Arabidopsis thaliana: one gene and its partner. The protein of the gene in region 2 purifies or fractionates together with the protein of the main gene of each other region. This does not show direct contact. Each region holds a gene or a part of one and is shown on either strand. Other genes may lie near its edges.

Region 1 (9,253 bases), on a different chromosome or scaffold from region 2:
GAATAGGAGTCAACTAGAAGGTGGTAGGCATGCTGGAAAGTACATAAAGTACACACCAGATGACCTGGAGAGTTACTTACCAGACCTATTTGAAGGAAATCAATTGGTTATTCACCACCCGAGAAGGAAAAGTTAAGGCTCTTGCTAGAAGATGATGACGATTGACGAGGACTCTCTTGCTTGAAGGACAATCTTGTCTGTTTGAAAGATGATAGTGGCCAGGTAACATATAAGTCAGGGGTTTAAGTTATATATGTGAAAGTCGGGCTTACACCCTTTTTATACACTGTCAAAATTCTTATGTACATGTCTTAATACTTATCATGTTATGACCATGGGTTTTATATAATGATTATGCTCTTGAATCAAATGGTCTTTGCTATATATATGGAGCTGGATGATATTACTTTCTTGTTGTAACGTATCTCTGTACTTAGATTTGATAGTAAAAGTGTGTTTGTTGCATAGAAATGATAAGTTAAGAAAATTTCAGTTTATAATAGTGGGTGATTCCGCATTTTCCAAATCACAGATATAATCTGTTTCCAAGACTTCGGCCAAAAATCCAGTATGTATATACCCAAAGAAAACACAGGTTGAGCCACATTGGAGAGCAAATCTCATAAAAACATACATGTCACTTAGACCAGTGTGTTATTTTATTGGCACCAAAAAAAATGTTCTTGGTTTCAAGTTTTGTGTTCGAGTAGCTACAAAATACAAATCCAAGTTTCTTGGACAAGTACGACCATGGAAACTATTCATATCCACATACTTTGACATAGACTATGATAACAGAGTATGCATCTGCTACCTTTAACATTCCATCCCAAGCATTGTCGCTCGCTTCCAAGATTAACTTTAAAACGTGGAGCATCCTTCTTCTTGGGCTTGGAATCAGGTTGTGGCTCTCCCTAAGGAAATCATAGAAGATTTGGACAAAAAATTGATCAATTCAAAATTTAGATTTTCTTTAGAAAACAAGAAACATGCGTTTTATAATATTGTGGGTTACAAAAATAGTTTCAACATTTTATAAAGTGGTTAATGCGTTTAAACTGTGTTAAGCTGATGTTGTTTAATGTTTAGACTGCTTGATGTTTTAAAATTTGATCTCTAGAGATTTTTACATTCACGTTGAATTCGAAAAGAAGTAATTAATCTTGACGAAAAAGAAGGGGTTACACAAGTCTGAAGTTGTCCATCCTGATTCTCAAAGCAAAGGTATGATGATCTTCATGAGTCCTTGCGTTACATTGCACAATCTTCTATTTTGTTTTGTTTTGTTTTGTACTCATTTGCTTTTTTATTGCTACGTGTTTTTGTCTCTCTCCCTATGAATTTATATGTCTCTTTGCATGGATGGTTTTTTGCCTTAATGGCTTAATCGGAGTTTGGATTTCTCAATTTTCTTGGTCCATACTCTTCTCCTTCGTGTTGATATATGAGTTAGTGTGATTTAGTCTGGATTCAGGGAAGTATTTTTCTTGTTCTGTGAATAGCATATACTTGGGTTAGAAGAAACGAGGTCAGTCATGCATTAATTGATGGTATAAAGCATTAGTGGCAGTACTATTTTGATGATACAATAATGGCAACTTAACACTCTTGAAATATTTTTGGGTTGTTTCATTTTCTGATCTTGTGGCAGTAATGTTTTGTTATTCTTTCCAGATTTTATTCAAGAAACTACAATAAACCTGAGTTAGTATCAGTATGATTCTGATTCAGTGTTTTATGTTTTTTATATTTAAAAGTTGAAGGATGCTCCTATAATAGAATTGTTGTTGTATCTTGAAACAGGGTTATCTTATGTGAATGAGACTTAGATCTTATATTAAATCATTTTTAAACTCTTACACTCCAAAGACTCATTACAAACCACATTAAAACTATGACATATATGAACAAGTAAACTCTTACGGTTAGTAGTCGTATCTCCTTAATATTCTCAGATGCAAAGATTACAAAAACGGAGAGCAGTCTTGTTCTATCTCCCACTACTAACCGGTCTACGGACAAAGAACTGAGAACGTGTACTTGTTCAAGGAATCATGGATGGTCACAGGACCAGGTAATGTTGATCTTGGACCAGAGATTAGTGTTCTGATTGTGGTTGCAGTTATGCACTGCAACAGTCGTCCCATATAAGTTAGTGACTACAACAATGGAACAAATGCTACGGGGGAGGTTGCAGAAGTAAAGTAAGCCCTTAGCTACTTCATGTGATGAGACTTTACCATTTAATATCAAGTTTTGGTTCTTTCAATGGTGTTATGGTCTTTCTTGTTTTAATGAACTTAAGAGGACGAACCAATATATCGAGTCCACAACAAAAAACGAAGTTCCATTCTGTTCTATAAAGGATAACTTGAAAGGTTACATTGGGAAAGTTCATCAAGAGAAACTGAAAACCAAAAACAACTAACAAACAAATCAGCAGTTGGAGAAGAAAAGCCTTAGAAACATGCCCTGCATTAACTGCTTCCCAATTCCGTAAAGTGTTAATGGAAATTCCTTTGCAGGTTTCTCTCTCAGTCCCATGTCAATTCCCTGAATTGGTGGAAGTAACCGATCTTTCAATCTTCAATTGGAGAACCATGGTAATCCAGACTGAAGGCAGTTTTGTCCCTCCGGTAAGGGAACTATAGGTCCCAAGAAGAGACGCCATAGATCAAGAATGATTGTTACCAACATAGCAGCACCCAAAGCATCAACAGCCACTCGAGATAAATCCCATTCATCAGTTGATTTCTCATCCATCCTGCAAACAATGAATAAAACATATGAAAACAGATAGACAACAACTCGAGGTAATCAAATAGCAATAAGAAGGTGAGACGGAAGCATATCACAGAGACTGTTCAAAGAACTCCTCAAGACACTTGAGAAAGACCTGGTTCTCCATTTAAGTCTTTAATTCCTATATTTTAAGACTCTCAAGAAAATTCAATCAATTAATCCGGTGTATCTAACAACTATCACTTGTCTCAGTTTTGATATGCAACAGTCATGAAGGTGAAAAGATTCACTGCTTCTATGAGATGATAGAAAACTATGCTTTCTTTACCTGAAGAACATTGGGAAGCTCACAATGAAGTAAATGGCATAGAAAAGACATCCAACTCTGTACATGGCACTTCGGTCCACAAACTCATAGTAAGGAAACTGCACAAGTTTGAAAACAAAAACAGAACATATGAGCGGTTATTGTCAAGTGACTAGTTTCTAAACAAGATTCTAGAATGATTAAGTAGATAAACGTAGTCTTTAAGCAGACTATAAGAGGAATTTGTGATATATGATAAAACACCAAGTAGAGAGCTCTTTTTATAGGAAATTATCAAAGAAATGTAGACATCACAACGTACATTTGCGATAGCAATAGTCTCCAAGTATGCAATGAAATAAGAAAGCGCAAGTATCCATGCAGCCTCAAAACACCATTTCAGAGAATCTGGTAAATCAGCAGTGGAATGGCGTAGCCTCCGAAGAGTAATGTTCGATGCAACGTGGTAAAAGAGGAAGCAAACATGTGTTAGGAAGAATGTTGTGTGAGGCACCTGTTCAACACAAAACCCCTGCCATAAGCTCATGGAAACAAGAAAACTACTCAATAGAACAAATCTGCCGAGATAATGCTGTGCTTACATTATTCATTTTCCATGATGGAAAAGTATAGGACGCTCCAAGAACTTTAAAGAAATAGTGAGTCCAAAAGTAGTTTCCGACATAGCTGAAAACAATTATCCAGAGATTTGCCTGTGGTAAAAACATGTTCCAATCAGTACAACTATGGATGAGATCTTGAGAACTCTCACCAGTACTCAAGGAAGTTAAAACAAGTTCTAAAAATAGTTTGAAACTAGAACTGGCAAGCCAAAATGTCATGCACATAGAAAAAAAGCTTGCCTTAACCCAATAGCGGTCCTTCCAACATAAACTTCTGTCGGCCTGAAAGAATAATGCATATATTCTGAGTCCATATGGTAAGGAAAACAATAGAGATTTGCATTCAATTGGAAGCAAGTAGCTAGTAGACAAACAAGTATAGCACCACGAACACGTTAGCTCACAGTGAAAGCAAAAGTTGTCAAAAAGTAACCTTTCCAACGAGTAACATGGGTATAACGAAAGCAGGAACAGCTGAAACCAAAGCTAGAAGCAGATACTCCAACTCCGTGAATGTCTGCTAGTTTGCAAAGTAACTAACACTTATTAGTACTTCTTCAATACCACTTAAAAGACAACTTCATACAACAGTAAAATTTTCAGATCTCTAAAACACTGACATGGTAAACAATGAGACATCATTTCATAAACTTTGTTGATCTAATTTAGCAGATAAAAAAAAGTGAATAGCTACTTCAACTCTGTCTCATCGTCTCCTAAATACATCAGACACTTAAAAACAATGCTCATTTGATGATCGCATAGACCTCGTAAAGCTTGTAAGGAACAACGATGCCTAAACAGAGAGTGAGCCAAAAAGGAGTGTAGAAGAGGAAGAAGAGCTCTCCCCATCTCTTGCTCGGATTCGGTGCCAGCCACAAGCTCGGTGAAGAAGATCCTATCAAATGTAAATCAAAAAAATCAGGGAATGGGGACGAGAGATTCGAATCAGAAGAAGAAGAAGAGATCGGCGATAGTTTTACCTGACATAATCGCTCCGCCGGAGAATCTTAGAAACGTTGACTTGAGTAGTGTGAGTGAGTGAGCCGAGATTTTGTGTACGGGCGACCAAATAGATCCCAATCAAGCTGACGTGGCAGATGTACTCAGTGATGATGATTTTGACGAAAGCTAGATCCGCTCGCTCATCGTTCCTATTATTTTACCGTTTATTATGACATCACCTCTTTTTTCTACTTCTTTGTTGCTAAATTGTTATATTTGTTGTTCCCTTTTCCCAACATAAGAAGTGGGCCTATGTTAATTTAATTCTAAAATAATATGTAATCTAATTTTATTTTTTATTGTTAAATTTGATTTTAAAAAAATGTATATAGCAAATTGAAACTTTTGAGGTAAAGAGTTTATTTATATTTTTAGAATTTTCAAAAAGCAGATGTATGTGATCGTAAAAACGTTTACAATATATGTAAAGTTGGAAAAAAAAAAGCTTATATTATGTACTATTTTGAATTTTATAGTATTATTTTGCATTTTTTGGAAAACTCTTTTATTAATGTTAAGAATTTAGAAAAATACAAAAACTTATTAATAAATAAATATACAAAAATTATCAAGAAAGAAACTAATGATGTAGTATTCATTCATATCTTTAATAACCAAACATTGATGGAGTTTGGCTTTCAAAAAAAAAAAAGAAAAATGTGGGTTTTCAAGAGTTTAATTGTCTTATTGACGAAAAGTGAATGTGGTCTAGTGGTATACTGATATTCATAAGTCTACCATAAACTAGCAAAATCTTCAACCTCAGTACTTAATATCAAATTAAGTTTCTTAACACTAGTGTTAATTGGACAAATGACCGGTCCATCGTGCCTTAAAACCGAAAAAATGTGTTAGACTCTACTTATTCTATGTTTTCTAGTCCGCTTTTTTTGGTTCACTTGACCTAAAACATAATGGTTTGTTGGAAGTATTATATGATATTTGATTTTATGTAATTATGAAAAATGTGCGATATTAGATGTGTAAGAAGAAAGACTCGTTTTCAGAGTTGGGTGTGTCACCAACCCCAGGCAGGTTGTTGTTGTTCGAAGGGCAGGCCTTTGTAGTTGTTGGCACAGTTAAGGGTAAAATCGTAAAACGGTGAAAGAAAACATTGGAAGCATCGAATCCAATACACGCACTTCAAAAAGAGAACACAACTCCACCGGACCAAATCTAATTCTCTTGTAAGAGACGACGACGACGAACATGGCAACGAGCAGTGCGGCTTCTGTTGATATGGAAGATATTCAGACTGTTGATCTCATGTCTGAGCTTCTTCGCCGTATGAAATGTGCCTCTAAACCTGACAAACGTCTCGTTTTCATCGGTACAATCATCTCTTTCGTTACCTCTGAATCTTTCACTCAATCGGTACTTTAGGTTTGATCTCTGTGAAAATTGTGTAGCGAAAGTTCCGATTTTTATCTGTTTTAGTGTGTAAAAATTGCATTTTGCTGTTATCGTTAATGCTTTATCTGATGATCATAGCGAAGGGATTGTGAATTTGTGTTTTTTGGTTCAATAGAAAGGAAGAATTGAGTTTTGGTTCATGTATGATTTGGAATTTGCAGGTCCACCTGGTTCAGGGAAAGGTACACAGTCTCCGGTCATAAAGGATGAGTTTTGTTTGTGTCATTTGTCTACTGGTGACATGCTTAGAGCTGCTGTTGCTGCTAAGACTCCTCTTGGTGTGAAGGCAAAGGAAGCAATGGATAAGGGAGAGCTTGTTTCTGATGACTTGGTTGTTGGTATCATGGATGAAGCAATGAACAGACCCAAATGTCAGAAAGGTTTCATTCTTGATGGGTTCCCGCGGACTGTGACTCAAGCAGAGAAGGTTTCTGGTTCTTTTCTGTGGTTAGTTGTTTGTGTATCTGCTCGCTCTTGTAAATGTTCTGACTTTTTTTGTTTATAAATCTTGTAGCTTGATGAGATGCTTAATAGAAGGGGAGCTCAGATAGATAAGGTGCTTAATTTTGCGATCGATGATTCGGTTCTCGAAGAAAGAATTACTGGAAGGTGGATTCACCCTTCAAGTGGAAGAAGCTATCATACTAAATTCGCACCTCCTAAAGTTCCAGGAGTCGATGATGTAAGAAAAACCATCAAATTCTGATTCATCATTTTGACTTAGTAAATCGAGTTCTCTCTTGTGATTTGATCTCTGTATCAACTTCGTTGTTTGTTAGCTGACTGGAGAGCCATTGATTCAACGTAAAGATGACAATGCGGATGTTCTTAGATCAAGGCTAGATGCATTCCACAAGCAGACGCAACCGGTATGTTTCCTTATAGTACATGAACTTGAGGACTATCAGAGAATTTGACATTTGTTCTTGTTGTTGTTGTTGCAGGTAATTGACTATTATGCGAAGAAGGAGAATCTGGTGAACATACCGGCAGAGAAGGCCCCGGAAGAGGTTACAAAAGTGGTGAAGAAGGTTGTGTCTACATGAAACTGAAAAACGAAATGGCATCAGTTTAAGATGTATCTTTTTTTGCTTATCTTAAATAACTCTCCTGAGTTTTTTTATTTGTTTCCCCCGGAATGTCTTTTGTCTTGAGAGCAACATTTGCTGCAGTTTTGTGCAGTGTGTTTCACTAAGGCTTATTGTTTGCGACTGGAAATGTCAGGTGAATAAAGGAAAAACAAAATCGTAGTAAAATAGTGGAAGATTGAAAACATTAGAATCGCATAACATTGAAAACAAAATGGTAGCTTATAAAGAATTGGTGATCAACTGTAAGAATTGGTAGAGCAGGAATCCAACAGATTCCAACGGAATTGTATATAGATCATCTCATCATCACAATGAGATAAGCGATATGAAACCATAGTTAGTGAAATTCAAGTTTTTCAGATTTATAGATTTATTTTGGATAACAAAAAAAGGAATAAAATACAAGTAATTCATATATTTGAATAAAGATATCATCATTACAATTTGAGCTTCAATGAACTTGGATGGTAAGATAAATTTTGAAAATGTTTGGGGTATAAAATGTTGAATTGTATTCTTATTATTTATTTAAATAATAGTTTTTGCCTATATTTTTTCAGTCAAATCTACTATATATTAAAAAGAATATTTTCGGGAAAATATCTTCAGTGTACCATACTTAGAACACATTCCATATTAGAAAATATTAAATCTTATTCTTTAGTTCTAAGATGATAAGATAAGATTTATGACAATGTTATAAAACTTAAACATAGTCAATAGTTCTAACAATTTGTAAAAGTATCTTGTAATGACGAAATCAAATTTTTTTACTGTGATAGCATTGTTTGTTCTCCTCTTTGTTGGTGTTCTTGAAGCCAACAAGAAGAGCCTCTTACATGAATCTGAAGATTTTCGACAGTCCGAAAGTTTGCTTAAAAAATCAGTTGATCCAATACGCGTCACAAGATGGCTCGTTCCCCCTTCAGGACCTAGTACCAAAGAATCACCGGGTACAAGATGGTTCGTTCCACCTTCAGGTCCTAGTACCAAAGAACCACTAGTTAGGAGATGGTTTGTTCCACCCTCAGGACCTAGTACCAAAGAACCACCGGTTGCACACAACGCAAATATGAATTTATGGTGACCATCACAACGTCTGGTTTTAGGAATGTTACCTAAGAATGTTCCAATTCCTCCAATGAGAACTAGCAAAAAAAAAAACTTTAAATCCATAAAAAAATATGTCTTGAATTTCTTTTTTTTTTAAAGCAAATCTAGTGTAAATCATAATCCAACCAAAGTTCTAGCTACAATAAAAACAGGAGCGTTTTATTAGTGTGCTAGTGTTCAATAAAATATGCATCAACATTTCTTTCTTTCTTTTTTAATTATTTCTTGTAGTTTTAAAAAATACGGGTTTAATTATCTTATTTTGATGAATTTAAGATTAAAGTTGTCAAATTTCAAGAATTTGGATTCCAATGAACAATCAAATTTAAATTATCTTAAAGAGTTGGCATCGTCATGTTCATATACTTCATAGTTACATATACACACATTCAGTCCATAATGCAATATATATATGCAATTTAATTTATCTTAAAGAGTTGGCACTGGAACTATGAATTGGTAATATTATTAGTTATTGTTCAATATTTAAGAATCAGAAAACTAAAGTTAAACTATAATTTTATGAATTTACAAGTTTATTATTTCAAAACTATAAAAATATTTTACAAACCATAAAAGTGAATCTTAATAAAATATAAAGTATTTACAAGAAAAATGGTTGGTTAAATAATTATCAAAACATTCTTATAAGCAGTAAAATGTTCTTATTTTTTAACAAATTTTTTGTAAAAAAATTGAATAAAAAATAAAAATTATGACCACATTGCAATTGTTTAACCACAACATATTTTGTGCATTTATCTGACATGGCATTCATAATTTCTCTGTTAGAATTTGGACCGTCATAATAGTAGTTACTCATTTTCTTATTTTAATCAATAATTACACAAAATAAATAATTATAATGGAAAATTTAACTTCGGCCGGTTATAACATTTCCATTCTGCACTGTGTTCTATATTCATGGTCTATAAACTTTTATGAGGTTACAGTCTTGT
Region 2 (9,049 bases):
AAGAGAACCAGAGAATACTTGAATTTGGGACCAAACATTATTAGTAAGTTCTCTTTGCATGTTCGAACATGCATGGATGAAATATGACCTTTGGTTCGTTTTTTGAAGTGGAACTTATCGAGTATTAATTTACAGAGGTTTAGTATAGAAAAATCTATTTATATTCCATTGTAAAAATAATTTGAGATAAGTGAAAAGTAATCATTTTAATTTTTTCAAACATATTTGGGAAAGTAGTCATATTACTATTTACAATTTGCAAAGTAGTCATTTTTAAGTGTTTGATTTATACACCTGGATTGCAAAGTGACTAGTTTTCCAAGAAACCCTAATAATAATTAAAAATTTCTTAATGGATTTGTTCACTATATATAACTGTCCCTCCATAGACCATGCATAATCCTCCACCCTTTTGCAAGTTCTCTATCTAGTTGGAGAGACCAAAGATGAATGTGAAAAAGGCTATGAAGAAGCAAAACGACGTCGCGATGATCCTTGGGAGGCACGTCTTATCTTCTGAGTCGGAATCTAACGTCATCTTCTCGCCGGCGTCAATAAACTCTGCGATCACCATGCACGCCGCTGGTTCCGGAGGTGGCTTAGTCGCCGGTGAAATCCTCTCCTTCCTCAGATCTTCTTCAATCGATGAGCTCAAATCCGTCTTCCGAGAACTATCATCCATCGTCTACGCCGACAGCAGCGCTAGTGGCGGCCCAAAGATGAGGGCGGTGAATGGCCTCTGGATTGAGAAATCACTACCGATTGATCCCAAATACAAGGCTCTCTTCGAGAACTTCTTCAAGGCTGTTTACGTTCCCGTAGATTTCCGATCAAAGGTAATTTTCCACTTTAACAGCAAAAAAGAAACTAGGGTTTCGAAGAAATATAATTAGGGTTTTGCAGAAACGTTATTTGGTGTTTCTAGATGAAGTGTGTAATAGCTGTTTGACTTAAAGAACATACTCAACCAGTCAAATTGGAAACCTAATAGTTCGTAATGTATGTTGATTCCCAAATCATAATTCGAATTAGGAGACTGTTTTCAAAAATCATCCAATATGTGTTTTTTTTGTTTGAAGGCTGAAGAAGTGCGTAAGGAGGTGAATTCATGGGTTGAAGATCACACCAATAATCTCATCAAAGATCTTCTTCCTCGTGAATCTGTGACAAGCCGAACCAACAAGATTTACGCAAACGCATTGTATTTCAAGGGAGCTTGGAAGAGACCATTTGAAAAGTACTATACAAAAGACAGAGACTTCCACATGGTCAATGGCACTACAGTCTCTGTGCCATTCATGACCAGCTACGAGACACAAAAAGTAAGAGCTTATAACGGTTTCAAGGTCCTTACCGACGAGGCCGTGATGATACCAACCGCAAATTCTCAATGTATTTCTATCTCCCTGACAAGAAAGATGGATTGGATTATCTCTTGAAGAAAATAGCATCTACACCTGGATTCTTGGATAGTCACATTCCGAGATACAAAGTTGAACTTGAGGAATTTAGAATTCCAAAGTTTAAGATCGAATTCGGTTTTTCTGCTACAAGCGTTTTGAATCAAGTGGGAGTACTGCATTCAGTGTCAATGTACCATAAAGCTTGTGTCGAGATCGATGAAGAAGGTGCTGAAGCTGCGGCTGCAACTGCTGATGTAGAAGATGACGGTTGTGCTCTTGATATGGGGCCACCTCCTAAGAAGATAGATTTTGTGGCTGATCATCCATTTATTTTCCTTATCCGAGAAGACAAAACCGGGACCGTTTTGTTCTTTGGTCAGCTCTTCAAACCTTCGGAATTCTTGTTCTGACTCAGATAAGTATTAACCTGGTTATGGTTTAGTGAATGGTTTTGGCAAAGTTATCACAGGTTCTCCGAAACCATATTTCAGTTGAAACCGAGATTGTTAGAAATTAAATTGGTTCTAGCTAGTTAGATCTGTTACTAAACTTTAATTGATCTCCATATCTCTGTTTTTTTCTATTCATTTCGTTCGGTTTGATTTTCGATTATCATTTTTTGTACTCGTGGATTATACATTTAAACACCCAAATTGTATGTTCCTGATCATTACCCACCATTTCCTGTCCTAATCTCCGAAATGAACACCACTACTCACTGACTCGAGTTTCGATGTGTTTAGATAGATAGTACTAGATTATTGAGTCTAATCACTTCTTGAATCACAAACAGAACAAGAACCCAATACGGTTCATGTAAAGGTTAACCGGTCAAACTATATACACAAGTAACAACATTTGGGAGAGACTTTAGTTAAAAGCGAGCATTTCCACTTCACAGCTCAGACCAACAACATACATGCATGTGTTACAACTGAATATACATCAATCAGTCTCTGGAGTTAAGCTTTGGTCTGAAGAATATAACTACGAGCACGAGCTGAGCAAAAGATACCTAACACTCCAAAATCGAAGCTAATAAACGCACTTAAGCAGAATATCCAAATAGATATCGGTCCTTCCACCAATTCGTTTTGATATATTTCCTCTTGTGATGCATCAATGTTTGCCGGGTCACACTTGCTTCCGGGAGTTTCCACACACAGTTCCGGATTTCCGGCCAACGCCCCTGGAAACTTCCCGAGCCCTTCTTTCTCGGTAATGATACCAGAGAAACAGTTGTGCGATAGGTTCAGTAGGGTTAGTCCTGGAGGAGCTGAGATGTTTCCAATGACTTGACCTGACAGAGAGTTGTGTGAAAGATCTAAGGCCTTTAACCTTGGCAGCTTCTCTAGACGTGGAAGCTGACCTTCAAGGAAGTTGTAGGACAAGTTCAAGTACTCAATATTCTTCTGTCTGAACAAAGCTTCTGGGATCTCTCCATGTAATAGATTGTCAGAAAGATCGATCCCAACCATAGACAATAGATTGTAGCTGAAACTTAATTCATCTTTAGCAACAACAGCTGCTGATATTTTGATCTCTACTTTTCCTGGTGGCTCAGCAAATCCTTCACCTCCACCGGTCTGAAAATCTTTGAAGCGTGTGCTGTTTAAGTTATCGTCTGGTATGAACCAAGAGAATCTGTTGCTGGAGTAGTCAATCATTTGGATTTTGTCAAACTTGAACAACCAAGAAGGAAGTGTTCCACTAAACTTGTTCCGGGCAAGAGAAAGATACTTGAGGTTGGACCATTTGGTAATGGCTTCATTAAGGTTCCCCGAGAGGTTGTTGGAACTTATATCCACAATCTCTAGAGACTTCAGACCAGCTAAAGTAAGCGGGATCTCACCGGATATATGGTTGTTGCTTATGTCCAGTATCTTTAGACTATCCAACGCATCAAGCTCGGGTTGTATTTCGCCAGAGAGATTGTTGTTACTTATCATCAGAGCAAGTAACTGAAAGCAACCAACAATGTTGAGAGGTATTGAGCCGGTTAACGCGTTGTGGGAAAGATCAATGACCTGGAGATATGTCAGATTACCAATTCTAGCAGGAATATCTCCAGTTAAAAGATTGTGAGAGAGACGCAATGCTTGTAAACTCTTCAACTCTGTGATCCTCAACGGTATATCACCAGAAAAGCTATTGTGAGAGAGGTCAAGAAGAACCAAACCCAATTTCTCAGTTGTTTCCGAGATTCTACTAGGAAGACGACCTGAAAACCCGTTGTGACTCAAGTCCAACATCACAAGCTTCTCTGAAAACATAAGCCTAGGAGATATCTCGTAGTTGAAGCCATTGAAAGATAGATTCAAATGACTCAGCTCTTTTAAAGAACCCAAACAAGAAGGTAATCCACCAACCAGAGAGTTCTCAGCTATATTCAGAATACTAAGAGACGGACGAGAGGCGTAGAAACAAGGTAGCGTACCGGAAAACTGATTTGAAGCAAGATTAAGAACCACCAATGGCTGCTGAAAATCTCTGAGTGTACCAGTCATGTTATTGCTCTCAAGATTCAAGTACTTGAGAGACTTCAAATACAGTAAACTCTCAGGTAGTTCTCCAACAAACGAGCAGAAACTAAAATCAACTCTCTCAAGATTCATTGAGAAATTACCAAACCAATGAGGGACCACACCGCCTAAATCTCTATTCTCACTTAGAACAACTTCTCTAAGCTCCTTAAGACTTACAAATGTGGCGGGTATCGAACCAACGAATCTATTCCGACTAAGATTAAGTGTCCTAAGATTACGCAACGAACCGAAGCAAGAAGGAATGTTTCCAGAGAAGTTGTTGTGAGAAAGGTCCAAGCTTTGAAGAGAAGAGAGCTTACAAAGAGATGGGTGAATCTGACTGGAGAGATTCAGACCGGATAAAGTGAGGGAGAGAACTTTTCCGGTCGGATTCTGACAAGCTAGACCTGTCCAGTTAGAACACGATGAGCCGTACCATGTCGATAAGCTTCGATTTAGGTCGTGAATCGAAACTCTGAATATCAATAAAGAAGCTTTGTCTTGTGGGTCGAGATCGGGAAGCTGAGATTGAGCTAGAGGCAACGAGGGAGAGAAGACGAAGATAAAGAAGAAGAGAGTGAAATCTGCAATCTTTATCATAGCTCAGAGGAGAAAGATGAAGTTTTTAGGTATAGCGGCAGTTGAAGTAAATTAAGAAGGTTTCAGGGGTGAGTTGCAGAAATCGCAGAGACCTCTCTTTGCAATGGAGAGTGAAGCAACGCGACCTGGAAGTGGAAGTGGAAGATAAAGACAGAGAGAACATTCTCTTTCGGTTCCTTTTGTTTTAGCCTTTCAGACCCAAGAAGTGATTAATTAATGCAAAATTCCAAAAATCTACACTTATTTCTAGGAAAAACAAAATACAAAGGGTTTGATTCAGTACGTAATCCGTATTGTTAATTACTAATTTTATAGGTATTTATAAAAAAATCATATATTTTACTAAGAAATTTTAAATTTAGTCTCAAATCTTATGTTATTGAACCTAGAATTTACTTAAAATCATTTCAAAATAATATGATTCTTTTTTTTTGGATAAAGTTACCATTCATTCTTGTAACGTTTACTATAAAAAAAAAAAACAGCATATGATTCCACTATGAAGAAAAATTCCAAATTTACCGGCTCAAAGAAGAAAGAGTGTAAAAGAAAAATCGAAACCAAATGTACAATTTCACTATAAGTCATACGATTTCAACTCGAGTAAAGAGCTTCAAGTTTGCATAGTCTCAAAAAATAACATGTTCGAAGATGTCGAAAATGTCCATGAAACCAACAATTTAAAACAAAACCAGGCCAGCTTTGTAGCTTTAGGCCCATTCTAACACATTAATTTATGTTTTGTGCAACTCTAAAACTTTCTCTATATAAATGGTATCTAAACCCTAGATCTAATAGTAAGTGCCGAAGAAATCTCTCAAGTCTCTCTCGTTGTCTCAGGTTGGTCAGTTCTTTCTCTAGATTTCAACTTGTTTAGTCTTTTAAGAGGAAAAAGCATAAAGCTTTCTGTGTCATTTTTAATATCTGAGAATTCTAAAAAAAATGTTCTCTTGTGTATTGTAACTCGATTTTCGTCAGATCATTTCTGATTATGGGTATGTTTTGTTTTGCTCTCTAGGGTTGCAACATTTTGTAGAGAAAATGGGTTCATATGCATCAGATTCTGCAATGTTGAAGACTTGGAGAAAGACTCCTCCTTCGTCTTGTTCTCTTGTCAGACTTTCACATCTTTCTTCACTACAAGCATATATAACTAAGAAATGTTGCCTTTTTTGTAAAAATCAGGAGATTGGTTGTTTACCCAAAAGGAAACGAAGAGGACAATGGAAAGGGCTTTGTGTCTATGTATGTGGAATGTCTCTCATCCACAACACCACCCATTGATGTGTTTGATTATCTCTCTTTCTTTGTCTTTAACAAGAAAGACAACAAGTACCTCTCAATCCAAGGTTCGTATGCTCAAATCCTTATTATCTCTCTTTTTCTCTCGTATGTATATATGAATGAATGAATCGTAATGTGTGTGTATACGTGTAAACATGTAGATGTTGAAGTTAAGCGTTTCAGTTCTTCTAAAACGGTTTGGGGATTGCCAAAAGCTATGTCGCTTGAAACATTCACTGACCCTGCAAAGGGATTTATCGTGGAAGGAGAACCATGTGAGTTTGGTGCTCATGTGAAGATTGCTTCATCACCCGTCCCTGTTGATGAGAATCTCCCTTTTCACAAATTCTCTTGGAGCATTCGTGATTTCTCTGTTCTGAAACAGAATGATTGCATATCTAAAACCTTTGCAATGGGAGGAAAGAATTGGTGAGTTTTTTCCTTCTGATAGATATTGTTGTATGAGTGTATTAGTGGTAACTTGCTAACAAGTGGATGATAATGTTTTACAGGACTCTAACTGTGTATCCAAAGGGAGACTCTGAGGCAGATAACGAGTTCTGCAAGTACTTGCATTTAGCTGACGGTGAAGTCTTATCGCCTGGTGAGATGATTTCCGTGCGAGCACAACTAAGGGCTTTAGACCCGCGTGGATCCAAACACAAAACAGTCTGGCGTAAGTCAAAAACTATTGATATTACTATTTTCACAATGCTTATGTCTTGCCTTGATGGATGATACTGATGACATTTTCAATAAGCAAATGTCCCAACTCTTTTGACGACATTGATTCCTTGTTCTTGTAGTTCAACAATGGATCATGGCAGCGACCAAAGCGAGGGGTATTCCTCAATCCTTGTCTTTAGCTGATCTTCAGGAGGCTTACTTGGATGAAGATACTTTGAATGTGGAGATCGAATGTGAAGTTGTGAACTCTAGGAAAATGTTTTAAGCGTAGAAGAGAATGTGAAGTTGTTTCCACCAAACACTCTATCTATATCTATTTAGCTATCATGCCATGTCTACTACTCTAGGACTATTTGTGTTAAGCGTAGAACTGAATGTGAAGTTGTTTCCACCAAACGCTCTATCTATATTTAGGAATATCTCTTTGTCCATCATGCATATCTGACTATTGTATGACTACTCTGTTTTATGTGTTTATTTAATGAACTTCTTAGTTATTAATTTTTGTTTGTGTATATCTCAAAATGTCTCAACACATTCCTCTAGCTCTTTGAAGTTGCAGAAACTAGGGACCTTCACTGCTTAACTTATCTATTCACTCTTTAGGCCATCAATGGACCAGCTTCATAAAACAGAATCTCTGGCCACAACCTGCATACCAGAAATCTGAGACTATAAACAGAGAAGAGATACATAAGAAAAATAGCACAAACACTTATAGCGGCTGGTTGCAACAATACGGCATCCTTAACGAATGTCGAGCCAAGTGTGGTGGGATGCAAGTCAAGTTGTGGCGCAAAAAACCTTATAGCTTCAGATTATTACTTTGCAAGAATCAATTGCTATAACAAGGCAGCGCTGACGAATCGGATACTCCACGCTTGTGTTCTATTCAGGTCAACAAGTTGCAATGCTATTGGATGCTGCAGCCTGCAAGGCAAGCATGCCTTATGGGGTTCAACGTGTTGACTGTTGGTGTCAAAATAGAAGATAGTAACACAAGTTACACAACAACTAAAGGGTGCAAATTTGCTTTCTTAACAGACGAACCGTATGATATGTTGGGTAGATACAGTCCACAACAGATCCATGCTCTACGATATTCTCACGTTGAGCTAGGATGGTTTATTCACACTACGGATCTTTCGTTTATAGACTCTTTGGGATGCCAGAATTTAACAGAGTACAATAAGAAGGAATTTATTGATCCATGTATGTGATTATAATGTGAATTTAAGATATGCAAGTTGTGCATGCAATAGCGGTTACAACGGCAACCCATACGTCGGATGCCAAGGTCAGTAATTGTATTTAAAGTTTTCTTCTTATTTTTAGATCTCAAAATCAGTTAAATACCGATGTTATTAATTGTCAATTAAATACGGATGTCATTATAACTAGGTCATATAAATACCGAGGTTAACATCTAAATAAAATGACGTTAAAGGCCGTTTTTTTGTAGTGATATATATTGCTTAAATTATAAATTGGTCTAAATAGGTCCGTATGGATCAAAGTAATTCGCATTTAAATAAATGAGAATTTACACAAATTAACACCCCTAATTAGCCATTAGTAATTAATATTACCATCTACACAAGCAATAAAAGAAGTTAATATTCAACACACCAAAATAAAATAAAATAGAAGTTATTCATTTTTTAGTATTTATATTTCCAAGATATATCTAATCATTTTGTTTTTGCCGGTTTGCAGGGTTAGGCTTGTTAATCTTCATTGGTGGAGTATATTGGTTATAAAATTTAGTAGAAAACAAATGAGGCTAAACCAAAAGAGAAAGTTCTTCAAACGTACTGGGGGTTTATTGTTGCAACAACAATTGACTTCAACAGAAGGCAATGTCGAGAAGACAAGAGTGTTCAGCTCGAGTGAGTTAGAGAAAGCCACTGAAAACTTCAGCCTAAATAGAATACTTGGTCAGGGTGGTCAAGGTACTGTGTACAAGGGAATGCTTGTCGATGCTAGAATTGTAGCAGTAAAGAAACCCAAAGTTGTGGACGCAGACAAGCTAGAAGAGTTCATCAATGAGGTTGTAATTCTTTCGCAGATTAACCATAGAATCGTGAAAATCTTAGGTTGTTTCCGTAATGAGACAAATGTCCTTCTTCTCGTCTACGAGTTTATTCCCAATGGCAACCTTTTCGAGCATCTTCACGATAAGCTGATGATTTCACGATGATTACTTGGGATGTACGTCTCCGCATAGCAGTGGATATTGCATGAGCTCTTTCATACTTGCTCTCGGCTGAATCATCTCCAATCTATCACAGAGACGTCAAGTCTACAAACATCATGTTAGATGAGAAATATCGAGCCAAAGTTTCGCGATGGGATATATGGATCCTGAGTACTTTCAGTCTAGCCAATTCACAGCAAAGAGTGATGTCTATAGCTTTGTGGTTGTGCTGGCTGAGTTAATATAGCATATCAAAGTTGTAAATTACTAGACTTATATAGATCTTTGGGAAATTACTAGAATATTAACTATGCCTCAAAAATATATAGTTCCATATACACAATAAACATATA

What was found.
Region 1: the proteins of CLV2 (region 2) and CPI1 purify together in Arabidopsis thaliana (affinity purification with western blotting, with the first as the bait; one study listed by BioGRID). This does not show direct contact.

The regions. Positions count from the first base shown.
Region 1 is NC_003076.8:20,507,265-20,516,517, reverse strand, and holds CPI1 (cyclopropyl isomerase), read right to left. Parts: upstream 4,852-9,253; 5' UTR 4,663-4,851; coding exon 4,656-4,662; intron 4,571-4,655; coding exon 4,440-4,570; exon of another isoform or gene 4,190-4,439; coding exon 4,106-4,189; intron 3,955-4,105; coding exon 3,913-3,954; intron 3,763-3,912; coding exon 3,652-3,762; intron 3,564-3,651; coding exon 3,372-3,563; intron 3,169-3,371; coding exon 3,071-3,168; intron 2,765-3,070; coding exon 2,692-2,764; coding exon of another isoform or gene 2,587-2,691; exon of another isoform or gene 2,554-2,586; coding exon 2,437-2,553; 3' UTR 2,269-2,436; downstream 1-2,268. Other genes in the region: EXO70F1 (exocyst subunit exo70 family protein F1), read left to right, coding at 1-136; AT5G50370 (Adenylate kinase family protein), read left to right, coding at 5,887-6,007, 6,252-6,517, 6,605-6,772, 6,870-6,959, 7,035-7,136; AT5G50365 (uncharacterized protein), read right to left, coding at 7,742-7,747, 7,956-8,357. UniProt on the Arabidopsis thaliana protein: Converts pentacyclic cyclopropyl sterols to tetracyclic sterols.
Region 2 is NC_003070.9:24,282,422-24,291,470, reverse strand, and holds CLV2 (Leucine-rich repeat (LRR) family protein), read right to left. Parts: upstream 4,730-9,049; 5' UTR 4,529-4,729; coding exon 2,366-4,528; 3' UTR 2,142-2,365; downstream 1-2,141. Other genes in the region: AT1G65370 (TRAF-like family protein), read left to right, coding at 5,772-5,877, 5,974-6,241, 6,325-6,488, 6,619-6,764. UniProt on the Arabidopsis thaliana protein: Involved in the perception of CLV3 and CLV3-like (CLE) peptides, that act as extracellular signals regulating meristems maintenance. Required for the sensing of the root CLE peptides (e.g.